4 linked regions of the Tamandua tetradactyla genome follow. The protein of the gene in region 3 binds, or shares a complex with, the protein of the main gene of each other region. Links are inferred from orthologs where the notes say so. Each region holds a gene or a part of one and is shown on either strand. Other genes may lie near its edges.

Region 1 (7,999 bases), on a different chromosome or scaffold from region 3:
AGGGAACACCTGAAATCCATCTGCACATACAAAGACATGCACATACATTGGACACCTCAGTCCATCCTAACCATCTCCCATAACTAGCATCCACTTCTAGGGTGCTGAGGGGGCAAGGTGGTCTCTGGGGAAAGGGGAGAAAGCAGGGTTGTGGTGGCCAGTAGATAGCACCTCCCACCTGCACAGCGTCCCCTTTGCTCCCTGTCCCCTCATGCCACTCTCTTTCCCCCTCCCTTCCACAAAGGGGGGGCCCTTGATTCTCCTCCCCTCCCCCCTCCCCTTCATTTCCTCTCCAGCTCCCTCCACAGCCATAACCAGTAAAACAGGCGGCCAGCTATTATGGGATGGCTGCTCCCGGCAGCTCTGCAGGGAGGGGGCGGTCACCGCGGAATGTCTCCTGTGGGTGGCTATTATGGGATGGCCGCTTCTCTCTCTCTCTCTCTCTCTCTCTCTCTCTCTCTCTCTCTCTTTTTTGTTGGGGGGGGGCCTAGCAAGGAGAAGAAATATTATGGGATGTGCCCTGTACCGCTGGGTGGGGCTGCCCTGGGTAGGTGAAGCTCTGGGAGGCGGGGGAGGGGGAAGGAAAGGAAGGAAGAGGGAGGGAAGAAGCTGGGGAGGGTGGGGTGAGCCCTGGAGGCAGACCTGAGGCCTGGCAGGAGTAACTGGCTGGAGAGGTTTCTTTGGTGACAGCTGTTTGGAGGGGCCACTAGGGTAGGCTCGCTGGAGCTAGCTGAATTTGAACTCTGGACACCTGGGTCCTTTCACAGCTCATGGGCAACAGGGTTGTTGAGTCCTGGGTTCTGGCTGTGTGGCACACCAAAGGGCACCTGGTGACCACAGTACCCAAGGACACCCTTCCTCTTTCCTTCCTGGGTTTGAGACTTGGGACCATTGCTCAGGTGGAAGCTTGTGCATGAGATACTATGCTACCATGCATTCAGATCCAAAGAAAAGAGGCTGGGTTGACATCCCAAGGACAAGGATAGATGCCTGGCTTGTCACTCCCAAGCCCCACACGACCTGTATCCTGTCTAGCCATCAGAGCTTACTGTCCCTGTGGCTTTTCTTCCTGATGTTGTCTTCCCAATCCCCCTTTCTTCATGGAGCCCAACACTGTGCCCCTTAGGCCTCCGTCTCATGAACAGAGTTTCCTGGTCTCACGCAAATCAGAGGTGTAGGGGGAGGAAATCTAGAGCATATGCTGAAAACTCCATGGGCAACTCACTCGGAGTGTTATTCTAGGTTCTTCTGTACCATGGGATGCAAACAGAACTCTAAGGTAACGGGCTAGAGAGGCTGTCCCCCTGGGTGCATTAATCAGGAGATTATCCCACCCTTGGTCTCTGTGGGCCAATCAAGCTGGTGGTTTATTTATAATTTATCTGGGAGGGTAGTATGGGGCCAGGGGAGGGAGGGGGAGGCATAGAGGCATGAAGACCACAAAAGCAACACACAAACATATATCCTAGCCCTTGCTAGGAGAGGAAGAGATTTTAGCCTTCTCCTTGTGGTGGTTTTGGGGAAATGGGAAGTAAGGGAAGGGAGAGAATAAGTAGGTAGTACCTGCAGGGATGGGGTAGAGGGAGTACAGTGGGTAAATGGGAACAATATTTCTAATCATGGGCAAGAGGCTGTGAGTCCCCACTTCGAAAACTCTGATTTCTATTGTGAATCACTGTGGTAAAGTGGTATATATATATATGGAAAAGGGTATTGGGTAGATGGAGATATTACAGAAGGGAAGCTGAGGTCCAGAAACAGGCTGGATCCCTTAGAGGAACAGGGAGAGAGGAGGGCAAAAATAGGTATCTGGCAGCTCTAAATGCAAAGGAGAAACTTCCTTGAAGAGAGGTAAACTGATATTTAGCCATTTTATGGGAGATGCCCCTTTTCCCCCTAGTGAGGAGTGCAAAATTCATTCTTAGTGTCTGGTATAAGCATGGGGAACAGTTTAGAAAAATGAATGGGGATTAATCTTGATGTTGAGAATTTAATGAGAGAGATTCTATGTAGCCTTGCATGCAGTGGAAGCATGCTACAATAGGTATGGTAACAGAGTGTCCAGGGAGTTGGAGCAAATGTCAGAAAAAGAATATAGGAACTACAAAGGTGGTAGTGAGTGCCAAGACTTGAGGTCTTTGATGTTGAAAACTCCAGTCCTAAGGTGAGAAGAGAGTGAAACACGGAATGCTGGTGGTTATACAAAATAGGCAGGAGCAGGTGGGAAGACTTAGCAGCAGCACTGGTGCTCTGCTTGGAAGCAAAAGGATTGTAAATTCTGGAAACAAGCTCTCACCTCTCCTCAACTCATCTCTACTTGCCAGTTTTCCCAGTCCTTAAGTTTCCAAAGGAGGGGAAAATCATCTGGTAATGCCCTTTCTCTAGGGAAATAAGGGCAATGAAGAGATGGAGGGAGAGTCATCCCATTTACTTCTGGTTGGGAAGGAACCCTCCTAGGAGGGAATTCTAGTTTCTCTTCAGACTGTCCTCCCTATATAAGTTATGATCTGTGTGAAAAAGACAAATGGGAGTCCAGGAAGACACTATCTCTGGCTTAAGGGAAGGGGCTGGTACCCCAAGACAGTGGTGCTGAAACATTGGTTCTCGCTCAGGTCTTACATCTCTGGGGCTTGGGAGGAGGGGAAAGTGACAGGCTTATGGGTTCAGAGTCTCCGAGGGCCAAAAGGTTTTAAAACAGCTCTTTTGACTCTCCAGGGCTGGGGCCCCAGGGTGGCTAGAGGGTAGGGGCAGGTAAGGAAGAAAATGGAATATGTTGGGAGGCTACCTTGTAGTATAACTGACTGAGGAAGGCATCCTGGGATGTTTGTAGGTACGGTGAACATTATACAACTAAGGTCTTTAGGTGGAGAATGGGGCCTCAAGAAGATTGGGGCAGGGACAATTGGAGGTATTGTGAGACTTCAGAATATCAAATGTGAAAGTGGTTGAAAAATATGAGACTTACTGGGTAAGCAGAATTTGGTGTTCAAGAATGAAGGTAATGGTTGATAATATTGATGAGTCTCTCAAGAAGAAAACCCGCGATGATATTATAGAATTTTGTATTAGGAGTGGTAAATGGAGAAGCATTGCCTTCCTATCAAAATCTCTCAGTGTGTAGGGAATAGTTAGGAGATTATTTTGGCCATTCATCTACATGGTAATATTTTTCAATATCTTCCTGACTCTAGAAGGACCCCCAAGAACCTCCACTAAGATAGCATCTGTCCTGAGACGAGTTGGGATGTGTTTTACTCTCTGTAATGGGAAATTGGGAAATAGCACTCAGTCGTTCTTCCTTGACACCAAAACATTTCTATCTTGTGTCACAGTTTGCTTGTTTGGTAATGCGTCTTAAAGGGAGGCATCAACTGCCTTCTTTGCATCCCCCTTTGTGCTGAGCTCTGTGCTCTGTCAACATCTGTTGAATGAACACAAATAGTAGTAAGTAGTAAGTAGAAGGAGAGCAGGTCCTAGCTCTTGGTCTTCGTTCACATCATGATGGGAAGACAATGACATTGCTGGCATGTTGAAAAATAGTCTTTGGATGTGATTTTGCACTTATTATAGGATGCCATGTTGTGAATTAAACTTTATGTAATGGTTCATCTGGCAAGCATGGTATTTTGTCAGTTTTACTCAACGTTTAAGGGCAGGAGATGAATATGGAGTATACCTGGATTTTAGTGGGATTGGGTGGGGCCCTATGCTGGCTCTCAGATCTCTAGTGTCTGTCTGGAAATAACAGGAAGCAAAAAACTAGGGTTCTAGACATTAAGAGGATTTATGCTAGGGTACTGATTTGGCCCAGAAAGAGCTGAAAGTGTGTACAACTTTGGGCGGGGACAGGGCAGTGTGGGTAATCTGCTTTGCCCTCTGTACTCTAGGTGTTAGAACAGACAGCTTCTTCAGGAGATGGGGAGGGATGAACATGAATATTATGGGATGCCTGGCAGAAGGGTATAGGAGTGGTGGGGTGGAGATGAAGCATTGTGGAAAGTGATGTTGAGTAGTGCTGGGAGTATTTTGGTACCCACTGGTTGACCCAGGGCACCTTGCTTGCAATTATTATGGGATGTCAGGGTATGAGTGGGGGAATAAAATTATGGGAAATCTTTCCAGTGTTAGGGGAAAGGTGATTAGATGCCCACCTGCCCGGTGGCGGTAGGGCTGTTGATCATCAGGGGATAGAACTTTTTATAGGGGAGGAGTGGATGTTATAAGCTGTGGAGCTAGAGTGAGAGCATGAAGGATGGGGATGGTGTTGAAAGGATCTATCTAGACCCTAGCCGGCAGGGACCTAGGGCAGCTCTAGGGGGTTGGTTATTATGGGATGTCAGTAGAAAAAGTGGGAGACTGATTATTATGGGATATGTGTGGGAGGAGGCCCAGTGTCCGTTGTTGTAGTGTGTGTAGGGGGGTGAATTTCTGACTATTATGGGATATCAAACTGGGGGTGGATGAAGAGTGGTTATTATGGGATGTCTGTGGGGGATGGGTATGAGTATTATGGGATGTAAGGCTCCAGTGCTGGGAGGGGTGCTTATTATGGGATGGCCACGGGGAGGGAGAGGTGACGATTATTATGGGATGTTAGTATTAGGGTGAAGAGTGAAGAAGTTGGCAGAAGGATGGCTATTATGGGATGTCTGGGGGGGAGAGGGTTAGTTGTAAATGGTCTGCAATATTATGGGATGTCAGCAGCCCTGGCATATATATGTGTGGAGTGTGTGTGTAATGTGTGTGTGTGGGGGTCGGGGGTGGGTGTCCGTGTGTATTATGGGATGGCCAAGAGGTGGGCGGTTGCCCGGGTGACACGCGCGCGCGCGCTCGAAGGGGGCGTGGCCAATGGTTGCCTGAGCGACGAGGGGGCGGGGGTTGCCCGGGAGACCTAGGGAGGAGGGTAGCGGTAGTGGAGGGGGGGTTGGAGTTGGTTGAGGTTATTATGGGCTGTCCGCGGGGGGGCGGGGCCTGTGCGGTGGGATTTCCCGGCCGGTGTTTCGGGCCCTTTAAGAGGCGACGCCGGAGCCGGAGCCATTTTCCCCCCTTCGGCCGCGGCAAGGAGGAGCTGGAGCGGGAGTGACACCGGGCCGGACCCTACGCGACCTGCAGCGGCTCCGGGGTGAGGAGAACGCGGGGTTCTTAGAGAGACGCGCCTCGCAGCCCGGCAAGCCCCGAGGGTCGTCCCTTCACCCGCTCTATCCTCAGGCGCCCCCAGACCCGTGGACCGCCCCCTGTCCGGGGGAGCCGACCCTGCCTTTCCCTTCCCTGCAGGGTGCCCAGCCTCCTCCCGCCGCAGCCGGCTCCAAGTCTCGCTCCCGCACCCTCATCCCCGGGCTTGGTCCTCCACAATGCCCGGCGCCGGTCCCCTCGCCCTCTGCTCACTTGCCCCCCGGGACACGTGGCCCGGCCCCCTTCCCGCTGGGGGCTCTCTTGCCCCCACGTCCCTGACTCCAGCACCCCCGGAGCGCCCGAGCTTCCACGCCCCCTTGTCCCCGCGGCTCCTGAGGAGAACCTGAGTTGTCCCAGAGGACAGCCTTTGGAGAGCTGCCCTGTCTGGGGACTGGCCCCTCCCCGGGAGCAGGAAAGCGCCCCCCCCACCCAAGTGACCTTGTGTCCCCGAGCGCCTCGCCGCCCGCCTCCTCCGGCCGCGGCCACTCGGACGCCCCCAACCCCCACCCCCACCCCGTCACACCCTGCCCGGTCCAGCCCTGTTTCTCCCTTCCCCACGCCAGCACCAGCCTGCCTTCGGGGGCGTCGCTCCCTCTCATCTGGGGGCTCCTGTTGGGGAGCTGGCTTCCGGGCTGCCCCCGAGGAGGAGTGTGGAACTAAGTTCAGCCTGAGTGGTTCGGGTGTTGGGGTGGGGGTGCTGCTGTAGCTGGTGGGCGGAAAGAGCGGGTGGGTGTGGGGGAGGGGGACAGTGCGCGTCACTGACTGTCTCTCTTTCTTTCCCCCCTCCCCCGCACAGTGACTCGGGCCAGTGTCGAGGGCCCCAGGCCGCAGGCAGGAGCAGCTGGGCCAATTCCCTGGCCAGGAACGGAAGGGGATGGCGTCGGGCCTGGGCTCCCCGTCCCCCTGCTCAGCGGGCAGTGAAGAGGAGGATATGGATGCACTTTTGAACAACAGCCTGCCCCCACCCCACCCAGGTAACATCATCCCCAAGGGTCCAGGATGGGAAGGAGGCTTTTGGGTCCTCCCTGCTGACTCTGGTGAAGCGGTGCTGAGTTTCTGGTCTTTCTGTGCAGAGTCTGAGGTGGAGGGCCTTGGAAGGAAGCGGTTCCCTTCTGCAGAGCTCTTGTGGGGTGGGGGGTGGGGGGTGGGGGGCTGGGATGGTGGAAGCCATGTGCCTCCTGGGCACCTTGGACTGCGTGGATGCCTGCTTGCTGCACTGGTCTTGAGGAATGCTATGCAGTTCCCCATGGAGAGAGCGCTGCAGACTGGCAGGCATGATTACATGTGGGGATCCTTGGAGGAATGCAGGTAGCCGGGACCCCTGGAAGCTGTTAGATTGGGGCATGTGTGTATCTGTGCTAGTAGGATCCTATGGTTGCTACTGTGGAAAGGAAGGAGAGAGTGCTGGTTACTCTCTATTTGATTTTTAGCTTCTGATCAGTCACTGGCTTTCTGTACTGTTTCAACGGTGAAGTTTGAATTGCGCTCCTCAGCCGGGATCTAGAGTGCTTATAGCCAGGCAGATTGCTGGAATGTTTTGAGCGGAGATGGGGGCTAGGGGATGATATAATAGCCCTAAGAGCAAAATAGGTGGGGCAGAAGAAGGGAGGCGACACCCTGGGCACCCCTCCTCCTCTGGCAAGTGGACATAATTCTGGCTTTGTTCCTCGGGGTGTCTGCCACTGTGTAAGTAGCCTGAGGTTTGGGGTGGTTGGGGTGTTTTGCAGTGTTTATGTAGGTGTGTTGGGGGTTGTGTTATCTGTGTTTTGGGGTGGCTCCTTGGATTGGCCTAACTCGAATGGTTATAACCTTGTCTATCCTTAAATGATGATTGATCTCATGCTCCTAAGTGGGTATCTCTCTTGTCTTCCTTTCTTCAGAACTCCTAGCTAAGTTACCTACTGGTCCTTGACCTTTTTTCTAGCTTGTTTTTGCTACATGCCATTTCTTCAGCCTCTCTGCTTATATTTTTTCTCCTCATTCTGGAGCCTGCCGATCCTGTTTATATTTCCCATCTAATGTCTTTCACTTCTGTTTTCTGTCTTAGCTCCAGCCGGAAGTTGAGGTGATTTGGGAGACATGCTTCCACATTTGGCATTTTCTAAGTTGGAAGTCTTCATCTCAGCCAGAGGTCACTAAAGCGAGGGACCAGCCATGGTGTCTTCTTTGCATGTTTCTGAGACTTCAGTTGTTGAGATAGAAAACTTAGGCTTGAGTCTCATAGGCTTGAGTCTTATCATTATGTTGGGTAGGGTGGTAACTTTCTGTGCTGTTGCCCAAGGTAGAGTGGTTGTGGTGGTAGGAGAGCTTGTCCTTTCTGTGAGGGGCATGAGAATTAATAATGTTATTGAGCCATTGTTGCTTCTACCTCTTGGCCTCCCATTGGTCACTTGGTGTGGGGCAGCCCAGTGTTGACTGGGAGCTGTGCAGCGTGAACTCTGCCCCAAGCTGTAGTATGACCCAGTTTTTCCACTTGCCACACCCCATTCCTGCCCCTTTCCCAAATCTTCGTCTATATCTCAGCCAGTTTGCCACTTGCCACATCAGCATATTGTCTGCCTGACAAGTTTTGGGGTCGCATGTGGAATGTAAGGGTGGCCCCTTTGCCTCCATGGGTTTGCCCTTGTCTCTACTTACAGCTTTTACGGAGGTGGCGAAGAAGAAGAACCGAGATGTAGCTGATTCAGGGGGTGACATGGGGATTGCTGGGGAGAAGCCCTTAAGAAAATGATTCTTTCTGGTGAGATCCAGGCTGGTGTTCCATTCCCAAGGGAATGGGAGGGGCTTTCTTGTGCCTGGCCTGATCCTGGGCTGAGTGGGACGGGTT
Region 2 (6,981 bases), on a different chromosome or scaffold from region 3:
GGAAATTATGCATTTATAGAACAATAGTGTATAAAATACAGGATTCCTATGGACGGTGTGACAGTGGCTCAGTGTCAGAATTTTCATCTGCCATCCCAGAAATCTAGGTTTGATTCCTGGTGCCTGCCTATGCAAAAAAAAATATATATATAGGATTCCTATACACCACCCTGTTAACATCTTGTATTGGTGTGGAGCAGTTGTTATAACTGATGCTAGAACATTTTTATAATTGTAGTATTCACTGTAGTCCATGCTTTCACATACGGTTCACTGTTCGGGTAGTGTCAGTCCATGGATTCTTTTTTTTTAATTTTCATTGTCACATATATGAAGTTTAACATCTCCCCTTTCAAATCACATATTTCAGTGCTGTTAATCACATTCACAGGGTGTGTTACCATTACCACCAAACTGAGTAGTATTTCACTGAATGGATGCAACACAGTTTATTTATTCACCTATTGGAGGAAATCTTGGTTCTTCCAGTTTTTGGTGATCATGAATAAAGCCGGTATAAACTTTTGCATGCAGATTATCACGGGGACATAAGCTTTCAAATCATACAATTGCTGGATCATATGATAAGATTATGCTTAGTTTTGTAAGAAGCTGCCAAGTTGTCTTCCAGAGTAGCTGCACCACTTTGCGTTCCCACCAGCAACAAATGAGAGTTCCTGTGGCTCTGCAAACTCACCAAGAGTTGGTATTATGTTTTATGGATTTTAACCATTCTTAAGGTATCATGGTATCTCACTGCTTCATCAACTTATTTTTCCTCATTTTATTACAAGATTTTTCAAACATAATAAAACCAAAAAAACTGTACAGAAATACAATGTTGAGTTTTATAGTCACAAGGTAAGGCAACAAACTCATCTGCTGGCTGGACTGAGCCTGGGGGCTTGTTTTCAGTGTCTGGTTTGGAGGCTATAATGCTGCAAGGCTCCAAATTGCAGAGGGTGAGCTAGGAGCCTGGGGTCTGAGTGGAGAGGGGACTCCCTGAAAAGTTCCTCCAAGACCACGCCACAGAGGTCTGTGCTATCTTCCCCCCAGGGTAGGAGTGTCCCTACCAAAATTGTCATCTCTGACCTCCTCAGGGAACTCTGTGCTCCTTCTGCTATGGCCCAAGGAAGAAGGATTTGGAAAACTGCTTGAGGGCAAGGTTCAGCCCTGCAGTCACCTCCTGGCATGTCCCTCCTGCCAGACACCGGCAGTGGAGAAAACGGGAAAGCCTAGGCTTTGGGAGAAGAGGCAGAGCTACTGGCCCCTCAGTGGCCCCCTCCCCCTATCCCTGCAGAACTCCTTCAGAGCACAGCCTCTGTGCCACTGGCAGGCTGGGGAGGCTCTTGGGTGATACATGATCAACACTTTTTATTTCTATAGTCAGATACTTAGTTTGAATATGAATTACAGAAGAACTTGGCTAGTCTTTGTAATTAGTCCCTGGGAGATACCCACTAACTCTTTGGGATTTCCCCTAATAGGACTGTCATTTGCTATTCCTGCTGGGCCCCAGCCTACACCTCCGAGCATACATTAACAAGATGACTCAAGGTGGGGCCAGGCGCACCTGCGGCTTTATTACGGGGGTCACCGAGGTGATTAGAGGATTGGGCTTTGAGCCAGACCTCTGCAGGTTAGAGGGCGGCAGCTGGAGACCAAATTCACCCACCTGAACCTTGATTCCATCAATCATGCCTTAAAGTGTCAAAGTACACAGAGGCAATTAGAAAACCTTATTAAACCTTATTTGGGTAACAAAGGATTAGCGAATCAGGCAGCACCAAACCAAAAGTGTAAGGAGGGAGTGGAAAGGGGAAGCTTATATAGGGCACAGGTGGAAGCAAGTGAGACGTTCTGATTGGCTGACATTGTTAGCATTTTATATGGGGGGGTCTTACAAAAGTGGGGAGCAGATAGTCATGGATTAGTATGGTATGCCTGTACATTCTGATAAATTCTCTCTACTGGACAGAAACTGGTTTATCACCAGGTGTTGCTTACCTGCAATCCTGCAAGATACCTTTCCTCATTCCATTTTCTCGGAAAGCCCCTGCAGGTCAATTGTTTTATCTCTGAAAATCCTTTCTTGGAAAGGGTCCCCTCCTGGCAACACCCAATGCAGGCGGCCATTTAATTTTACTTAACCTAAGTAATGAAACTCTGAAAAAAACTCTGGCCAGTGAAGCTCAAGTGAGCTTCCCTGCCTGACAAGACTCTGTTGTGCAAGGCGAGTGATGTGTCCTGACTCCACAGGGAGAGGACGTGAGCGCTTTGGCATCTGGCGACCTCCCAGACTTTATCCTATGTGTCTCTTATTTGTATCTTTTCCACTATAATAAAATTGTAATTGTAGCATTTTCCTGAGTTCTGTCAGTCCTTCCAACAAAAGGTAGAACCTGTTGTCAGAACCCCTGAATTTGTAGCCAGTTGGCCCAAGTGCAGGGGTCCCTGGAACCCCTGAACATGTGGCTGGTGTCTGAATTGCCACCTTGGGGAAGATTGTGCTCTTGGGCTGTGAAGTCTCATCTGACTTCGGATAGTTAAGTCAGAACTGCATTGTAATTAGAAAACTATGAAGTACACTGAGCTCATAACTAAACTGATATGATTCCTTTTCCTTTTAAATTTTTTTAAAAAGTGAATTGATACAAAGGAAATATTAAGTAGATGATGAGACTTGAAAATGTTTCACAAAGACTAGAACAGATGTTCAACACAATGAATAATAGACGGTTATATGGGGAAAATGCACCTGCTGCAAACTTCGGACTATAGTTAACTGTAATATTTTAATACTCTTTCATCAACATTGACAAATGTACTACACCAACACTATGGGTCAATAATATGGGATGATACAGAGTATGGGAGGATTAGGGTTTTCTTTTTATTTTCTGTAGTAAAGAAAATGTTCTAAATTTGCTTATGCGGATGAATGCAGTGTTAACCAGTGACTGTACACTTAGGATGGTATCTATGTTGTGTGACTATATTTCAATAAACCGGCATTTAAAAAATATTTCACAAAGGACTGAAGTTAGAAAAACATTGGGTACAGATTAAATTCCAACTTCCTTACATGTTTGCCACCTGAGATTCCTCTATCATTACAGCCCTGCCCTTGCTTCCCAATTATCCCCACAGCAAAAAGAAATGACTTGTCCAATCACTTGTGCTTCCAAACTCTCAATCCTTTCCATGTGCCAGGCCCTCTACCTGGAGCACCCCCCTCCTTCTCTGCTCCCACCACCCACCTTGGGGTCTTAGCTCAAATGCCACATCCTCTGGGAAAGCTTCTGTGAGGTCACCAGGTAGGCCCCTTCCCCTTGGCTCCAATGCTCCAAGGTCTGGGCTTCACCGTGGCCACTCCCTTAGTGTTGTCTGTGCCTCTGCTTTCCTATCTGCTCCTCTTAAGACTAGGAGCTCCTTGAGGACAGAGTCTGCAGCTGGTTCGTCTCTGTATCCTCAGAGTCCAGTGCAAGGTCCGGATAGGGAAGGGATTCAGGAAATGTTTGTTGGATGAGTGCATGAACACATGTCCCGGAGATGAGGGAAAACCTACAGACCTAGGGGCGTGACATGTACACCAGGCCAGACAGGTTTTGGGTGGAAGGAGACTGGGAAAAACAGGAAGGGGGGTGGGAGGGTCTGAGACTTGGGGTTTGTGATAGATGAGATTTGAGTGGGGTCGCGTAAGGTAATGAAAATGTTTTGAGGCGCTTAAATGGGATAGGGATAAAGGAACAAGAAGAATAAAATCGTAAAAGCAATACAAATATTCATTGAACCCACACAATAACTCCGAGAGGTAGTTTTCATGACTCCCCCACCCCCGTCCCATTTCACCGACAGGCACAGGAGATGAGCGACTTGGTCAAAGGGAAACTGCTAGTAGGGAAGGTGCTGAGATTCGAACCAGGCAGTGACTGCACTCGGTCCTGTCAGTCACTCCTCTGGTTCAGAGCCTGGCACGCAGAAAGTGATTAAGGAGGGGTTACCTGTGACTGCTGCTGTCATTATCTGCGGCAGAGGCGTGGGGGCTGGGGGGCGGGTCGCGGGGTCTACGGGTCGTCCTTACACCGACCACCTACGGACGAGCCAATCCCAGGAAGAGCCGCGGGTCGCGGCGTTGGTGCTGGACTCGTTGCCATGGAAACAAAGGGCGGCAGCAAGCGAGCGCATGCGCAGATTGGGGAACGGGTGTTCAACCGGCGAAAGGTGACGTAAAAGCGCATGGGGTGGGGCGGAGGAGCCGGGACGTCAAAGCCCTGCGTCCTTCGGCATCCGGAGAGGAGAGGCGCGCTCGGCGGCGGCGATAGCGGCCCCAGGTGGACCGAGTCTCGGCCGGAGACCCGGAGGCGTGAGGTTGACGTGCGAAGCGGCGCGGGAGAGGCGGGCGGACAGCGCCCGCGCCCGGGAGGAGCCACTCGACGCGAACCGCGGCGGCCCAGACCCGGGTCCCGGTTCCCGAGGCCCCGCCCCTGGGGCCGTGGGACTAATCGGATTGAGAGCGCGCTGGCCCGGGCCGCGAACTCGCCAGTTGCGGAGGGCGCCGCTCACTACCCAATCCGAGGCAGACAGGTGCGAGGTCCGGAAGGCGGCGGCCAATCGGCAGCGGTTGCGACCTGTGGGGGCCGGTCTCGGCCAATAAGGAGGCTCGAGTGACATCTTGGCGCGCCAATCGGGAGTGAGGGAGCGGTCGCGCCCGCCCGCCCTTCCGGCCCGAGCTCTATTTACCCGGGGCGTGCAGCCCACTTGCCAATCAGAGCGCGGCCGAGCGGCCGGGCAGCCAACCCCGGAGGAGCCGCCGGCCGGCGTCCGCCAGCACCCAGGAGTTTGGGATGTCCTACAAGCCCATCGCCCCCGCCCCCAGCAGCACCCCCGGTTCCAGCACCCCCGGGCCCGGCACCCCGGTCCCTACAGGTGAGGACCCAGCACCACCCCTGCTCGCCTCCCCGGCCGGTCGAGGTCTCGAAGACAAGACGGCCTGCGTTCTGCCATGCTGGCGCCGCCGCCTACCTTCCCGCGAGCCTCAGTTTCCCGGCCTGTGAAGTAGGCGTGGTCACGTAAGGGCTTGTAGGTGGAGCGCAGGGGGAGGGGTTTGTCCCTGAAGTTGAGCGGCCTGGAATGAAGTTGTCCCCTTGGAGGGATTCGGGCGAGCCCGGTCGGGAGCTTGAAACGCTGGGAGGAGGCGTCCCCGCCCCGCGCTGACCGCTGACCTCTGACCTCTTACTCGCGCGTGTTGCAGCCGGCAGTGTTCCGTCGCCGTCGGGCTCGGTCCCGGGAGCCGCAGCCCCCTTCAGACCACTGTTTAACGACTTTGGACCGCCCTCCATGGGCTACGTGCAGGTGAGTGCGGCCGAGGGTGGGCCTGGGGGTGGGGGGCTGGAAGCCCACCCTGGTTGGATCTCACTGCCTTGTTCCCTTTTGGCTCAGGCGATGAAGCCCCCCGGTGCCCAGGGCTCCCAGAGCACCTACACGGATCTGCTGTCGGTCATAGAGGAGATGGGCAAAGAGATCCGACCCACCTATGCTGGCAGCAAGAGCGCCATGGAGCGCCTGAAGAGAGGTAAGCGAGGCGGGGCCCACCCTGCCCTGCCCAGGAGAGGACACGGGGCAAGCCTCCTTCCTTAGGACAGGAAGGGCTACCGAGGCCACCCAATCCAAGCTCAGCACCCATCTCATTACCCAGAGAGGCATTCTGAAATGAATGGAATTGAACTGAAATCAAGTCCATTTCGAGGGAGGGACCTGAGAACTCCTATTTTACCAGGGTGAATTTGAGGATTGGCCAAACCTCTAATCTCATCCAGCTTGTCGTTATAGACTTCAATCCCTCTTACTGAAGGGCAGAGGGTGGGGAGCCAGTCTTCCTCTGGAGGGTGGGGGTGCAATTGGAGCGTCTCCGGGGCCTGGTGTTACTTCCCCGCCCCCACCCCAGGCATCATCCATGCCCGGGCCCTAGTCAGAGAGTGCCTGGCTGAGACAGAGCGGAACGCCCGCACGTAACAAGAAGCACCTCGTCTCGGCGTCTGGACCTTTCCTGGCCACCGCAGAGCACCTGCTTCTTCCTGGCCTTCACCCTGAGTTGCACTTCCCATCCTGGGCTTCCTGTCCCGTGTCCCGTGGTGGGAGCCCTCTGGGAGGCAGGAGGCAGCTCCCACTCCAGTCAGCAGCACTAGCTGGGGCCCCTGGACTAGTTAGCAGTGAGGTCACTTGTGAGGCCCACCCATGACCTGCTAACCAGGTTGATCCAGCGGGAGCTTTCCCCTTCCTGGGGCCCCCCCACTTCCCCAGCACTGAGAACCACGTTGTCCCTGCCCCCCTTCTCCCCACAGCAGGCCTTAAGAAGGCCTGTCGACTCCCTACCTTGACTCCTGGGCTATAGCGACTTTTCTCAATGTGTCTTTTGCTAAATAAGCCCTTTTTGTATAAATAAAAAGTGATTTGGAGTTGTTCTCTCAGCTCTGAGCCTTTCTGGGTCCAGTTCTTCTAAGCCTAGGGGAGCCTGACAGCAGGGAAAGAGGAGACCTGGGGTTGAGAGGAAGTGCAGGGGTGGGGGGGTGGGTTGAGGCTGAGGCTGGCTAAACTTGGCCTTGCCTCTGCTGCCCATTGCTCCCTGGGTGGGGCCTGGTCCCAGGCCTCAGACCCTCAGCCTTGTCTGTCTACTCTTAGGGGACAGATTTGAGTTCCAGGAACGGAGAGCCCTGCCTATGCCTTCGCACTGTGCCGCCAGGGGGCAGCACAGGGCCTTGGCTGCCTCCACAGCTGGAGGGCACTGCCTGCCAGCCTGGGCCTGGAGCGTCCTGCCCCTGGAGTGTCCTGCCCCTGGGTGGAAATGCCAGTTCACCAAAGCCTCTCCTCCACAGGCCTTAGTGCCAAAATGTCCTCAACTACCCTGAATCCATCTTTGACTCTTCAGCGTGGGAGGTGGGAGTGGAAAGTATTCCTGCTTCCTTTCCCCAGCGCCGCCTT
Region 3 (7,462 bases):
CTGCTCTTTCTGTAATGTGCTTTGCTTTTATACTAAAACAAATAATAAAGAAACAAGATCTCTGTCTTATTCATCCCCTTTATCTCCATATCCAGCACATTTCTTGGAACTCCAAAAATATTTTCTGGAAGGCTAAGATTTTCACTCTAAACTAGTGAGATGGAGTTGTTAATAAACACAGCATTACACTACAGCTATGCATGGGTATAACTTCTCTCTTCTTTTAGTGAACGGTTCATTCTATTAATACGTGATCAATTCTCAAAAATTTTGCTTTCTTACTATAAGACTGATCAGATTCAAACTCCAATCCAATATCCACTAGCAATGTGACAACAAAGATCTGCCCTCAAATCTACATTCTAGTGAGAAAGCCATGATCAAACATTTGTCAGATGGTATGACAAAACAAGTGCTAGGGAAAAATAATAGACTGAAGGGGACAGAAGATGACTTCAGGTGGGGGGTACATGTGGGGGATCAGAGATGGCATAAGATTTCAAAATATACTAGTGCAGTAATTTTTGAAAATCTCAAGTTGTGACTAAGTGCGATCATGAAATCAATTTAGAGGATGAGCTGCATAGTTTTAAAAAAATGAAATATAAAGATACAGAGCCCATCACATATATTAAAGGTAAGCACTGTTTTGTGCTTGTTCCAGTTAACTCACACAGGTACTAGTCTGTAAAGCACTGCCTGGCATGGAGAAAGGCGTGATTAACTTCTGAACTTTGAAGGAAAGAGTCTTAGAGAAGGGTACCTCTCTCGGTTAGGATAGTCACACCTTGTGCCTGCACCTGTTCATGTCTTACTCAATTACATAACGGACTTAGCTGGGTGCAACAGAGACAAAAAGACAATGCAGTAAAAGAGGGAAAAAATATCAGGATCAGAGCTAAGAGGTAGGGGAGAAAGGCAAAACAAAACTAAACAGTTAAGCAGTTCAAGAGAGAGAACTGTTTTCACATTTTTCCAGGCAAAAAGTACCCCATAGGAAAAACACCAAAAAAAAAAAAAAAAGCGAGAAATAGGATTGACAGATTTAACAACAAAAACAAAAATCACCAAAATCCAAAGCTAATCATATATGCTATACATGATAAGTGCATGACACTCGTAAATATTTTTAGAAACTTCCCTAATATCTGTTCCATACTCCCTGCTCCTATTCTCCTGCTATCAAGATTTTAAAGCCATACAGTTTGGAAAGGTTTCTCTTTTTTTCAGCCCTTTAAACATTTAATACATTTTGAAAATCATGCCTACCCATCAGGAATGACTAAATTATATTAATGAGAGACTGGAAATCGTCTGCCAAGCCTTCCCTGGCCCTGCAAAGGACGGGGTTCCCACTGAAGCAGGGCTGTGATACAGGACTGTTCTAGAACAAAACCAGCAAACTACAGTTCGCTGCCTCGTTTTCCTATGGTCCATGAGCTAAGAATGACTTTTACATACTTTTTAATGGTCGGGAAAACAAACCAAAAGAAGGAGAATATGTTGTGGCACATGAAAATTATATAAGGGTGCACCAGCGGTTCAGTGGTAGAATGCTCCTGCCATACGGGAAACCAGATTCAATTTCCAACCGATGCATGCCAAAAAAGGTTATATGAGATTCACACTTTAAAATATGGTGAAAATGGCAAATTTTATATTATATACACGTGATACCACAATGTAATTTTTAATTACATTTAATTCAAATTTCGGAGTCTATAAAGCTTTATTGGAACACAGCCAGGTTCATCCATATTGTCAAAGGCTGCTTCAATGTTAAAAGGGCGGCAGAGTTGAACAGTCAACCGCAAGGCCTAAAATATTTACTACCTGGCCCTTTATAAAAAAAAAGTTTGCAGATCGTGTTCCTAGAATACAAGGGCCGTACTGCTTAATCACCCTTCCAATCCTCTTCCCTCTCTAGCCACCACTCCAGCTTTAGTCAAGAACAAGATTGCTGTGCCTGCCATGGAGGGAGGGCGTTATAATAATGAATTGTATCGAAACTTGAGACATAAGACTATAACTTTCTATATAAGGCCATATGAGTGGTTCTGCCACCAATTAGAGTAACTTCTGGGTTCGTTTCCCGATCAGAAAAGTGTGCATCACAGCAGCAGCTGCACCATTTCGTTTGAACATCACCATGGTCACTTGCGTGCAGGCACTTGGAAACGTATCAAGGCAACAAGTGTTCCGAGGGTGTTTTTGCAAGGCGGAGCGTCTCTCCGAGTCTGGATATAGACTGCGCTGCCCTCTGCAAGTCTGCACCTCCGTCGCTCCCCGCCCGCTCCCCTCTACGTCCAGCCCTCCTTTCAGTCTCTCACTTCCCCTTTCGGCCCCGCAGCCCGCTGGCTCCACACCCACCTCCCTCCCCCTTTCCTCAGAGCCTACCAAGTTGCCCGGGAGCACCGGGTTTAGGTAAAACCGGCCCGGGTCAGCCCGGCCCAGCACTGTCCAGTCAGGATGGTGGGTTGCCCTGGGACCCCTGCAGGTGGTAAGAATGACTCAGCAGGGCCCAGGCCTGGGCCCGAGACGCGAACGACCCAGCCCGGGGCCCAAGTCCCTTGCACTACGAAAAGGCCGCAAACCATCATTTGTTCTGGGCCCAAATACCCCAACAAACGGAAATTTAATTCGAGTCCGTTTCCGACCGCTGTGGCACCAGAGTCAGGCTGTCTAGGCCCCCACAGGCCGCACGTTTAAATTAACAGGGCGGGCACGGCGACTACTACAGCCAGAAAATGCCTGGGGCCTCTTCAAAAGGTCCCCTTCGACTCCCACAAACCGCACCCCACCCCCACCCCGGGCCGACCTCGCCCGCCAGAGGGGGCGGCGCGCCGGCCCCGGGAAAGGCCAGCGTCTGCTTGGAGGAGAACCTTTAGGGGTGCACTCAATCGCATGCCCGGGACTACCAGGGAAACGCACTAATTTCTTGAGAATTGAAAACAATTCCTAAAACTCTGGCCCACAGTCCCCGGCTTGCTCCCGCCCCCAAAGATTTCGCCCGGCTAGGCGGCGGCAGCCTCCCTGCCCCCTCTCCCTTCCCCCCACCACCTCGTTTCAGACAACCACGCCCCGCAGCCCCAGGGCTCACCGCCCCGGGGCCGCCAGCCCCCGCGCAGCTGGGCACGCCGCGCCTCCATTCGCCCCGCCCCCGCGCGTCCCCATCCACCCCCGCGGCCGGCCCTGGGAGCGCCAGGCGAGACCTTGCGCCTGCGCGTCGCCAACTTCCTGCCGCGGACCTCCCCGCCCACCCCCAGAGTCCCGCCCCCGAAAGCCGCGTGAAACCCGCCCGCCTCACGCCATTGGGCGAGGCGCAGGAGCCGTTGGCTCCCAGGCCCGCCTCCCCACCGCCTCTCACTTTTCCCAGGCGGATGCGCCTGCGCCCAGCAGCCTGGGCGGGCTGAGAGGCGCGGGTTGAAAAGTCTCGTTCCAAGTTTGGAGAGAGAGAAGCGCAGCACAGACCTCGGTACCCGCGAGAGGGGAGGAGGCAGGAAAGAAGGACGCGGCATCTGGGGGAGCACGCAGGCAGCAACGGAGCTCAGGCTTCGGCAGCTAGAAGTGCGTGACGCTGCTGGGAAAGGCAGGAGCGCCTGCGGTTGGGCTGCTCTCGACTAGCGAGGGGAGTCCGAGGCGGCGGCGAGGGGCGAACGACCCGACGCAAGATGGCGAGTAAAGAGAGTAAGAGGCCCTGCGGGGCGGCGCGCGCCGGGGCTGCGGGGGGCGGCGGGCGCGCGAGGCCGCGGCACGCGCCGGCGAAAGGCGCGAATTGGCGTGCGGAGCAGGGGGCGGGGCCGGGCGCCAGGTTGGGCGCGCGCCTCGAGGGGCCTGCGCGGGACGCGGCCGCGGCGCGGAGGGTTCCGAGCACTTCCGGAGCCGGGCGCGGGGCCCAGGATTGGGCCCCCGGCGGCTGCGCTCTCTTGGGCGCTCCCGGCATTGGGGCGGAGGCGGCCGCCACCGGGCAGCGGGGACGGCGGTTCTCTCCGCACGCGCGCGTCCACCGCCTTAGGGTCGCGGCCTCGGCCGCGGGGCCTCTGGAGCCGCTTGGCCTATGGCTGCCCGCGCGGGTATCGTGGGGCCTCTCCTGGTGGGGGATGAAGGGAGGGGGCTGATGGTTTTCTGCTACGTGTAGATCTGTCTCCGAGTGGGTTATAGGGATCCTCTAGATCCACACAATCCATCTCCTTAGAGCAGGTGCGAACAGCTGTAAAGGACAAAACAATTCCTAAAATCAGAGGCGGTTTGGCGTCCCTGTTACTATCCTATTCTGTTTGCGCAGGAGATATTGAGCTCAAAGTGCAAAAAATAAGCTTTCTGGCATTAATATTCTGTCCACGTTCTGGGGGAGCAGTTTTTTGCCTCTAAAGTAAAGATAAAGGGATAGATGAGAGGTGTGGCCATCTCGAGGTGACCTCTCCAGTACCTGTGTACAGTTTCTGACTTCGGTCTCTCAGCCACTTAATCGTATGAGCTTTCTCCAAATTTCAGTGTTCGAAGATACTGTGGAGGAGCGTGTCATCAACGAAGAATATAAAATCTGGAAGAAGAATACACCATTTCTATATGACCTGGTTATGACCCATGCTCTTCAGTGGCCGAGTCTTACCGTACAGTGGCTTCCTGAAGTGACTAAGTAAGGGTTTCTGGCAACTTTTATTTTGCAGAAATTGAAGTGTCGACCTGAATTTCTTAGCGTTCTATACCTAGAATGTAAGCTCGTAATCATTAGCCCTTGGATGAGGTGGTAGGTGGTTTTTATTTTTAAAGTTGAAGTGACTTATGGGATGAATTCTGATGTATACGCGTGGCATTAAAGGGGGAGAAAGGCTCCTTTGTGAGAATAATGATGTTTTTAGGAAACACTGAATATATTGAATGGTCTTGGGCTGAGATATAGAGCAGCATCTCTCGGGGCCCTGGACTACTGCATTTCTTTCAAACTTTATTGAAAGCATGCACACAGAAGATGCACAAATTGTAAATGTAATTTTTTTTGATGAATTTTTACAAAAAGAACACGCCCATGTAGCTGGCACTCAGGATAAACAGTTTTGATTGGCAAAGGGAAAAAGTTTGGCAACGGTTTCCTGAAGAAAGGCTGTTATTGTCTTAAAATATAGAATATACTTTGAGATTGCTGTTAGTTTTCATTAGAGTGTTCTTTTTAGCTAGTCCTAAAATTTCTCTGGTAATAATTGCTGACATTTATTGAATGCTTAGAACAGGATCTGGCACATCTGAGAAGTTTTACGTCCTGTTATTTGGTTTAATCCTCACAAGGGTACTACAGTGCATAGGTGCTTTTATTATCCTGTTTTGCTGATGAGGAAACTGAGGCTGAAAGGTTAAAAAACATGCCCAGGATCACCTACCTGATAAGAAGTGGGCTTAAGAACACAGACCTGATGGCTCCAGAGTTCAGACAACCTCTGCACTAGCCTGCCTACCTTTCTCATGTGCTTGCCCTTTTCCTAGCAGAAACTTGACTGTAGACTTTAAAGGTGTATTAATTTTGGGTATCATGAGTACATAATTTAATGGGGGTTAAATCAAATAATCTATAAAGTGAATTTTTGTGATAAGTTATAAAAATAATTTTAAAGTTGTTTTATGTTCTATTTTATAAATTATTACTTATTTTATAAAATTATAGTTTTGTGAAAGATTAACTTATTTTGCAATGGCCAGATTCTCCGTGTGCAAACGTTTGATTCCACACAGATAGGGTCTCCGTTGGTGTTCCTAAATGTCTGAGTGTAAATGTACAGATACAGGAAAGGTAGCCAAGAACTAGTAATGAAGACTTCCGAACACGGGCATTTTGTAACTACCTTTGATAGATTTCTAAAATAGATTGAGCGTCATATGCTTAAGGGTATTTAGATTCTGGTTTGAAGCATCTTGTGCATTTGACTCTGTCTTCCTGTTAAGCAAATTCAAAACTTTTCCACAACTTAACGTACCTTACCTTGCATCTTTTTGACCTGTAATATTGTAGAAAAAGCCGGGGGCTTTCAGTTTAGAGACCTGGGTTTGAAGATTGCCCCTATTTGTGACCTAGGGCGAGTTCAGACTCTATCTCCACATAGTCTGGACTGTAAATGGAGATGCTGGTAGTATTGACCGCCTACACTTGAGGGAATTAAATAAGATCATCCATATTGAAGTCCTGGTGCATAGTAAGCACCCAGTAAACCTGTTGTGGTAGCTGATGCTGATTTTCCCATTCCTTCCCCTTTGTTAGACAGGGTGGAAATAGTTCTGTGTTTCTCCGTTTGAATTTCTGTGGTAGTGACTAACTAAAATCCATTTTAAGCATTGCCAGCAATGATGTTTTGCTTATAGGTTTTAAAGATAAACCTATATGTTCCTCTTGGGTTGGACAGATTACTTTTATATTCACACTTAAGAACTTACCAGAAAATGCTTTAACTAAATTACATATTCTGTGGTGTTCTTCACATACAAAGAGGTTGTGGGATCTGGTTGTGGGAAGTGCAGTGGCTCTGGGAATGCAAGAAAATGCCAGCCAGCCTGCTTGCATTCTTGGATGTTGAAGACTGCTCTGTGGTGCTTTTAGCAGGGTTCTGTCTGGGATACGAAGGGAATATGATTGTGTTTTATCACTAACAAAACGGTAAAAATGTTGGCTATGTTTCTTACTGCCTGAGACCTTTAGCCCTCTCGTAGGTCTTTCTTCTTCTGCCTACATACAACATGTTTTCTATTACTTGAACTTTCTGAGTTGGTATCCTTAAATTCATTTAGGTAATTGTCCACATAGTTGATTTGGCTTTTTAAAGGTTTTATTTTTTAAAGTTCATAGATCATTATTTCATATCTTGTTAAGTAACTTCTTAATAAATGTATTGAGACTTAACTTAGTTTCTACCTAAAGAGCTTTTGCAGTCTATCAAAGTACGCAAGTATATAGAGTGAAGAATAAATCTCCCTTCCACGTCCCCTATTTTCCCAGCTCCCTTCCCCAGGGCAGGGACACTCATTTTCAATTTCTTAGCCATCTTGCCAGCATATAGAAGTGCGTATTTATCTCTTTTCCACCTTTTTTTGTGGTAACAGGTTGTTCATGTGACTTTTCATTAAGAGTGTATATTGGAGCCTTTTTCCTATCAGCATGCTTAAATAGGCTTCATTCTTTTCAAGGGCTTCATAGAATTCTATATGTCATCAGTTCCTTAGTGATGGGTATTTAGGTTGTTTTCAGTCTTTTGTGACTGTGAACAGTGCTGCTGAGGATAATCTTGTAATAAGACACATTTCTGTGATTGTGAGGTAAATTTCCTAGCAGTAGAGTGACTAGATCAAAGGATTCTGACACTGAAGAAGGGGACAGGCTCTTTTACCATTAGTACTTCTGCAGCCTTTAGGTACATCCAGTGTTAGAGGAAAAGAGTTTCCTTTTGATTATTTTAGAAAGTAGGCTTGTGTTTTGATG
Region 4 (7,738 bases), on a different chromosome or scaffold from region 3:
GTGGTCTATCTGTTCTTTGACATTCAGTTTGGCTTATTCTGGACCTCTAACTTAGGTTTTGTTTAACAGATTAGAGTTTTTCAGTTCTTGCTTTCTTTTTTCTTGCCCTGCCTGTATGGTGCCTTTTTCTTCCCCTCAGGAGGGTCTACTTAGGTGTTACAGACTCCAGCCAGATTTTCCCAGACCACACTGGTCTCCCGTCAGGAGGAGAGAGACACATGCATCAGTTTTCCCTGAGGGTGAGACCCAGCAGATTGAAAGGCTTTCCTATGAAACCTCTGGGCTCTCCATTTTTCCTATCCTGCCCAGTATGTGGTGCTTGTCTGCCTGCGGGTCCCAACAGCATAAGGTGATGTGGTACCTTTAACTTCGGTGGACAGTTGAAGTTGCTGGGGGCATGGTGGAGACAGAGGAGAGGTTGTAGTCTGGTTTTAATTGCTTTGCTTTTCCAGACGCTGGGGTCTGAACTCCTTGAGGGAGGAATTCCACCTAAGCTGACCCTCACTCCTCTCCTGGGGGAGGCACAGGCTCCAGACAAACACTCAAAAAAAGTTTAATCTGCCTATGCCTGGGGCAGTGGAGCCCGAGAAGGTTTGCAGCTATATCCAAAGAGCAGTCAAGTCATAGAAACACAGCCACCAAAACGAAAGAGAAAAATCTTTTTCAGAGCAGGACCCCATTCCTTGGGTTTGCCAATCAAGTGCTAAAGTTGATATATTGCTGTGTGTATCTCCAGGTCCTATGTGCCCCCTCCTCTCCTTCAGGGCCCAGACCTTTTCAAATCCAAAAACGTGTTTTTTGTTTTTCTTTTTCTGTCAGCCATGACCCCTCTGCACCAGGGCAAAAACCAGTGACCTCCACTTTTACTCAAGGTTCAGTTGAGCTGGGGGCCTATTTTTAGTAGTCAGAATTTGTTAACTCCACAGTTGGAGTTTGGTTGTACTCAGCCCCTGCTGTTGGTAAAGTCCCTTTCCTTACCCCTCTGGGAAGCAGCCTGTGGGGGAGGGGTGCAACCCACCGAGGCTTGGGGAACTTACGGTTCTGGGGGGGGGGTGCTTGTACCTGGTCCAGCTGGTTCAGACTGGGGTACACTGTGTGTCCAGTCACTGACATGGCCCCAGCAGTTGTTGTGTACTGCTCCTGGCTATTTATTAGCTGCTCTGGAGGACGAACTAAATCCCACACCTTGCTAAGCCACAATCTTGGCCCTAATGTCTTGCTTTTATTCTTGATGGTTTGTCTACTTTGGAAAGCGAAATTACTTTTTCTCTTTTAGGATTCTGTCTATTTTCTAGTGAACAGACTTCTAAGAGAACTAGAAAGACTATTTGATTTATCTCTATCTTCCCTAATCAGACAAAGTTACTAGAAGGAAGGCATAACGTTTCATCTACCTTTGTATCCCCAGCACTTGGAAAGTGTGTAGTATGTAACAGGCACTTCAAAAATGTTCACGAAAGGAATAGATAGATGTTTTGATTTATTCCTAGAAACTGTTACTAAGACATTTCTGATTTTATCCTCTAAACCGTCTATTGGCTCTCACAGATCAGCAGCATAGGCATCACCAGTGAGCTTGTCAGAAATGCAGTCAGGTGCCCCTTCCCAACCTATGTATCAAGAGTCTCTGGGGATGGGGGTCCAATGAACTAGCCATGTTTCTATGCCTGTTATAGTTTGAGAATCATTGATCTAGACAGTATTTATCTTTAATAGTTAATACCATTTTATAAATCTCAAGAACATTATGTTGAGCACAAGAAGCCAAACTCAAAAGAGCACATACTGAATTTTTCCATTTATATCAAGTCCTAGAATAGGCAAAACTTACATATATAGTGAAAGAAATCAGAATAGTGGTTGCCTGGGGAGTGGAGGTTAAGGATCTGACTAAGAAGAAGTATGAGGTAACTTTCTGAGGTGTTGGAAGGTTCTATCTATATTTTGACGGGATGCGGATTGCATGGGCTCATGTCTGCATTGAAAGTCACTGAACCATATACTTAAGAGTCCATGCATTTCACTGTATATAAAATAAATAAAATTTTAAAATAAAGTAATGCCATTCTAATTCCGTCTATATAAATCTTATCAGCAGGAGATATATACTAACATAATGATCTTAAAATGGTCTACAAGCCTTCCATGATTTGACCCCCTACCTACTTCTGCAGCTTCTCCCTGTACTACATTCCTGTCATTTTTTCAGTTCTTCAATAGCACTGAACTTTTAGTATTCCAAAGACGCTGTGGCCCCACCCAGCCCCAGAGCCTTTTTGCATGTGCTTTATATTACTGCCCTGGAATGTTTTTCCTCCTCTGTTTCACCTGGTTAACTCCCATTCTTTTGTCAGCTCTCACTCTTTTGTTCTTTAAGGAAACTCTCCCTAACTTTTATCATGTGAGTCCACGGAAGTTTTTGTAGGGCTACTGTGTATGCAACCAAAAAAGGGTCCCCAGATGAGGTGACAAGTGGCACTCAAATCAGTTTGTGCTGGGCTGTGTCAACCTGGTAGAAAAAGCACCCTTTTCTCTTTCATCAAAGCCACAGTCTGTTTGCCAAACCGTGAGTACTCTGGTCTATTTCTATAAGGGTAGCTTTTAAATTTTTTTATCGCAAAAAAGTAACATATACACACACAAAAATGCAATAAATTTCAAAGTACACAGCAAAAGGGTGACTTTTTAAAAATAGCACAAAAATACCACTGGGCTAGCAAAAGTACTTTGGCTTTGGAGTCTATCAGACTTGATCCCTAGCTTTGCCATTTGAAGAGCTGGGTGTCTTCAGGCAAACTGATCACTCTAAGCCTCAGTTTCCTCATTCATAAATTGCAGGTGGTTAAGTCCTCTCCAATTGAAATGGTTCCTGACATCCCCCACAGTAGGAGAATTCTGTGTTGAGAAATTTATTATTTTTAACAGGTAATTAGACTTCATATTTATTAAATTAATACCATAAAGGTAGTGCTATACATAGAATACCCGTGATATTTTACGTATCTTAAATCAGTAATAATAGTAACTAATTTCCATTTATCACCTATGAATCACCAGAAAAAGATTTTTAACATCCCTCCAAGTTTTAATGGACTCTTTTTAAATCTTCTTGCTTTGTTATATATAATAAGCATGCTGAAAGGCAGTTTCTTTTCACATGTACCCTTATCCAAATGTTCAGCACTTTTTGTAGTTTATGACTAGAAGTTGATTCCCACTTCCCAGCTCCCACAGATTCTAGACAAAGTAATTGGATTTAAAATTCTTTGGTAATTTATCCTTTACTTATATAGCTGTATTTCACAAACAGCCTTTTCAACAGAGGAGTGTAAGCCTCAGCTAATGAAAATGTCACACCAAAGAACATCTTATTTCCTCAGTGGGCTGACTTCATAACAGTCTCGTTTCTCCTCACCAACTGAGGAGTGCTTTGCAGTACCTAGCAAATTAAAGGGTTCAGCGAATAACTGCAATTATTCTTGTTAGAAAGACCTGAACTTTAAAGTAGCTTCCTTATTTTTTCTGAAAGTTCACTACAAAACCTTTTATTCTGCCCCGTCTTTGCTATACTTTGCTTTTCTCATTCTCAAACAAGATTTTTCTTTTTATCTCCAAAAGGAGAATGGTTTGCAATCTGCAGATAATGAAACTGATATTCTATTAAGGGATCACGTGAAAGTAATTCAAATATACTAGAATTTTATGGACACCGCGTTCTAGACTGGTTATCCACTGGGTGATGTAACGAGGTCTAAAGAAGAAAATGTATTTAACAACAGGTAGGTCCTCCAGAAGTGTTAGGCTCCTTCCCACCTCATTTTTATAGATGAGGAAATTGAAAGCCCAAAAGATAATCACAACTGTGTTCTAAAAAAAGGGGGGGGGGGGAGATGGGGAAGGAAGTGGGGATAAATTTTATTTCTTGCCGTCTTTCTCATTGTTTTTCTCCTGCTGCTTTTTCAGTTACACGGCTTAATAACTCATCTTACAAATCCATAAGGCTCCTCAAAGTATTTGGTACATGTCAAGAGCCCAGATATGGTATCACTAACAGAGACAAATATTTTGGTGAATTATAAGTTTTGTAGCCTTCTCCTTATTGTAGCTGATGTGCCAATAAAATATTGTGCGACGTCTAAATCACATAGTTGAAAACGACCACTGATTTGATCGACCCTGACAACCATTTAGCCGTAAAAAAAAAAGTCCTTCGGCTTAACTCATTAGGGTCTAGAATCATATTATGATTTCAGGATAGTCCTACTTAAACCTTACCTGATATTGGCACTAACTAGGTGAGGTTAATTGTCCATCGCAATAAGTATTCATCAGAATAAATATTCATCAAGAATTTACGAAGCAATCATTGACTGTAATTTGGTAACGCTTTGAAATCCATCCCGGATTATGGAAAAGCGGTGGAAAACTACCTGGGTCAACAAACAAGATTTCGAAAAGAGGAGGCGCTTGGAGTAGGCGGGTCGGAGCAAGACAGCGCGAGAATACACTCTCGCGCAGGCGCGTCTCTAGTGAGTAATTTCCATTTGCTAAGGGGGGGAGATGTGGGAAGCAGTTTATGGTTTTGGAATTTCTACATTCAGTAAAAAATTACGTTATGAACAGTTACGTAATCTACCTGAAAGTGTTATCCTCCGAGTTCGAGATTAATGACACTTGATATACACCGCTAAAGCAAGAGGCGACTTCTTATATCTCCCCCCGTTCCCAGGCACATTTGTGGTCTAGTCCATTCCACAGAGTTTCGAGACCCTGCAGCGGGTCGGTGATCGAAGATTTGGGCCAATTGCGGCTGAAACGGCTTTGGTAGGAGGAAGAGGGTGAGGGAGCATACCTCTGAGCCCCACCTCTCCATTACGAGGTGGTAGTGGGGAAAGGAGACGGACGAAGTACTACTGCCCTGGAAAGCCAACGGATCATACCTCTCTAAGCAAGCTGCCGGGAGGGCGGCGGCAAAAGGGCAAAACGGGAGTAGGGAAAGGGAAGGAGCCAGGAAGCCGCGCGGGAGGGCGCGCACGCGCGCCCCTTTTTCAGCAGTGTGGCGGGGTCGCACGCACGCCCGCCTCGGCGGCTGGGCGCAGTTTGCGACAGTGGGGGGAGCGGTGGAGGTGGCGGCGGCAGTGGCAACTTTGCGGCAAGCTCCGGCCGGGCTTGCTTGACGGCGGTGTGGCGGAGGCCACGCTCGAGGCGGCAGGAAACTGGAGGGAGGCGGAGGAATATGTCCGAGAGGGAAGTGTCGACAGCGCCGGCGGGAACAGACATGCCTGCCGCCAAGAAGCAGAAGCTGAGCAGCGACGAGAACAGCAACCCTGACCTCTCTGGAGACGAGAATGTGAGTACAACCCCAAGCAGTCTGGACGGGACTCTGGAATGAAAGTTTAAAATTCTTCTTAAACTCTACGTCCGGGGGCTTGCGGGTTTCTGTTGGGGGAGGGAGAGGTGTCACTCTTTGCTCCGGAAAACGCGGGCGTGGAGGAGAAAATCGAACTTGTCTCTATGGGGGTTTTGAGCTGGGATCGAGGGCAAGCAGAAACTTTGCGAAGGGGAGTAGTTTGAGTATTTGGATGATGGTGAGCGGTTCCGAGGGGTCTGTTCTGAGCTCTTGTTGCCTGTGATGGAGAATGTTTGGGCCTTCGAAACACTTGGGGAGAGTGCGAATCTGAGATTCCTGTAGTTTAAAAGGCATGTTAGAGATTAGGAAGGGGGATGAGAGTCTTTTAGGGCCTCTTCTAAAGGAGTTTGGAGTCACTTTCACTCTTTAGGCCCTTATAGAATCTCCAGGATGGGAACTGTAAATCTTCGACTTATTGGGGTTTGGGTGACTCTTTTTAAGGACGTTTTGTACCTCTTTCTGTCCTGGAGCAAACCTGGTGGAGAGCGTGTTGAGTGTCGATGTCTTTGCCAGAGGAGCAGGGTTTATGAATTTTGGTCTGACTTGGAGGAGGAACGACCTTTGGGAAGGAATGAGAAAGGAAGGCTCTCCTTTGAAAGTCCTTATCTTAAGATGAGGAGGACCGGAAGGATAATAGGCAATGGTGATAAAAGCATATATGCATTATATGGGCTCCTGGCTCTAGCAGAGTGTAAGGTTTTTGGAATTAGCTTTTTTTTAATGTTCTGAGATGGATTTTGGTAACTTAGTCCCAGCAGTTAACTAAACTTAAGTTGAGGTGACTAGCCAGTAGGAACTAAATTGACATTAATAAATGTAGATTGAAGAGTGAAAAACAGTCTGGAAATACTAAAACTGAAATTCTGTTTTGTGTGTGTGCGCCAAACAAGAAGGATGACTGTATAAAAAAGTGTAGGAGTGAATGATGCTTAAGTAGCGTATACTTAGAATTTCCAGGTAATAACTAGAGGATGTGGATGTTTCAGATTTAATTAGAATTCCTTAGAAAGGATAATATTATTTTGGCTTGCACACCAAAGGACTTAGAGGAAATATGGACTGGTTGGACAATCTTTTTTTTTTTTGTAGCTGCATGGCAGGGGGTCACATTTCATTCTTTTTCCATGTGAGTATCCCGTTAATGCAGCACAGTTTGTTGAATTTTTGTTTGTTGTTTGCTTGTTTGTGTTTGTTTTGGGACGTGCATGGGCCTGATTCGAACCCAGGTCTTCTGCATGGCAGGCGAGAATTCTACCACTGAACTTCCCTTACACCCCCTTCCCTCAGTCTTATAGCTTGCTTTCCAACTATAAATTTCATGAAAGTGGGAAAACAAAAATTTGATAGCTATTTTATAGCAATTCCTATTTCTCTGAGTTTCCAAATGTTAGTATCTAAATGTTTCATGTTTTAAATTTATATCCCAAAGTGAAGTCAGCAAATTTCTAAGATAGTCCACTCAAATTACTACAAAATGTGGGCCCTTGAGTCCTCTTCTTTTTTTTTTTTAATATTTTTATTGGCAAATCTTCACAAATACAATTCCTACTTTGTGTACAATCATTGACTCACAATACAATGATATAGTTGTGTATTCATCACCATGATCATTTTAGAATATTTGCATCACTCCAGAAAGAAAAAAAGAAAAAACTCATACATCCCATACCCCTTACTCCTCCCCTCATTGACCAGTAGTGTTTCAGTCTACCCAATTGGAACTCCCCACTATTTATTTTTTATCCATATTTTTTTACTCATTTGTCCATGCCCTGGATAAAAGGAGCATCAGACACAATCACACAGTCACGTTGTAAAAGGTATATCGTCATAAAATCGTCTTCAAAAATCGGGGCTACTCAAGAATCACAGCCCTTGAGCCCTCTTCTCATAATGTATCGCAGTATCTGAATATTTTAAAGAATTTTTTAAGGTGTTGTATGAGGGTCGTGTAAATTTTTCATTTTGTCAGTTTGACTAGTTTTAGGAATTTTTGCACCTTACACATTTAGTTCCTAAATTCCACATCATAAACACTGAGGCATATTATATAGCATGATATTGTGACCTAATTTCTCAGTGAAGTGATGGGAAAGATTCTTTTTGTTAGTTAATTCTTTCAGTTAGAAAGATATTTTGGTCCTTGTCAGTTTGTGGATCTTGGATTTGAAATTTCTGAAAAATTTGAGTGTTGAGTGTTACTTAAAATTTTTTTTTTTCTTTTCTCCTTGTTTGTTTCCGAGTCTTGTATATTTAGGTCTAACATTTGTGACCCTCTTCATTCCAGTCCTTGGAGCTTGTTACTTTTATTTCTGGATTAAAAAGAAC

Evidence for each region.
Region 1: RBBP7 (region 3) and CHD4 share a complex: the UniProt entries of both Homo sapiens proteins name them as parts of the nucleosome remodeling and deacetylase (NuRD) repressor complex. The link is inferred for Tamandua tetradactyla from reciprocal best matches to the Homo sapiens genes RBBP7 and CHD4.
Region 2: RBBP7 (region 3) and CDK2AP2 share a complex: the UniProt entries of both Homo sapiens proteins name them as parts of the nucleosome remodeling and deacetylase (NuRD) repressor complex. The link is inferred for Tamandua tetradactyla from reciprocal best matches to the Homo sapiens genes RBBP7 and CDK2AP2.
Region 4: RBBP7 (region 3) and EED share a complex: the UniProt entries of both Homo sapiens proteins name them as parts of the PRC2/EED-EZH2 complex. The link is inferred for Tamandua tetradactyla from reciprocal best matches to the Homo sapiens genes RBBP7 and EED.

The regions. Positions count from the first base shown.
Region 1 is NC_135333.1:68,890,036-68,898,034, reverse strand, and holds the start of CHD4 (chromodomain-helicase-DNA-binding protein 4), read left to right. Parts: upstream 1-4,996; 5' UTR 4,997-5,122; intron 5,123-5,703; exon of another isoform or gene 5,704-5,915; intron 5,916-5,968; 5' UTR 5,969-6,046; coding exon 6,047-6,146; intron 6,147-6,362; exon of another isoform or gene 6,363-7,899; coding exon of another isoform or gene 7,900-7,912; intron 7,913-7,999. UniProt on the Homo sapiens protein: ATP-dependent chromatin-remodeling factor that binds and distorts nucleosomal DNA. Acts as a component of the histone deacetylase NuRD complex which participates in the remodeling of chromatin.
Region 2 is NC_135335.1:6,905,082-6,912,062, forward strand, and holds CDK2AP2 (cyclin-dependent kinase 2-associated protein 2), read left to right. Parts: upstream 1-4,244; 5' UTR 4,245-4,847; coding exon 4,848-4,929; intron 4,930-4,936; exon of another isoform or gene 4,937-5,072; intron 5,073-5,254; coding exon 5,255-5,355; intron 5,356-5,442; coding exon 5,443-5,575; intron 5,576-5,947; coding exon 5,948-6,015; 3' UTR 6,016-6,470; downstream 6,471-6,981. UniProt on the Homo sapiens protein: Acts as a component of the histone deacetylase NuRD complex which participates in the remodeling of chromatin.
Region 3 is NC_135353.1:158,098,060-158,105,521, forward strand, and holds the start of RBBP7 (histone-binding protein RBBP7), read left to right. Parts: upstream 1-4,457; 5' UTR 4,458-4,472; coding exon 4,473-4,639; intron 4,640-7,462. UniProt on the Homo sapiens protein: Core histone-binding subunit that may target chromatin remodeling factors, histone acetyltransferases and histone deacetylases to their histone substrates in a manner that is regulated by nucleosomal DNA.
Region 4 is NC_135334.1:58,090,592-58,098,329, reverse strand, and holds the start of EED (polycomb protein EED), read left to right. Parts: upstream 1-4,731; 5' UTR 4,732-4,852; coding exon of another isoform or gene 4,853-4,873; 5' UTR 4,874-5,236; coding exon 5,237-5,350; intron 5,351-7,738. UniProt on the Homo sapiens protein: Polycomb group (PcG) protein. Component of the PRC2/EED-EZH2 complex, which methylates 'Lys-9' and 'Lys-27' of histone H3, leading to transcriptional repression of the affected target gene.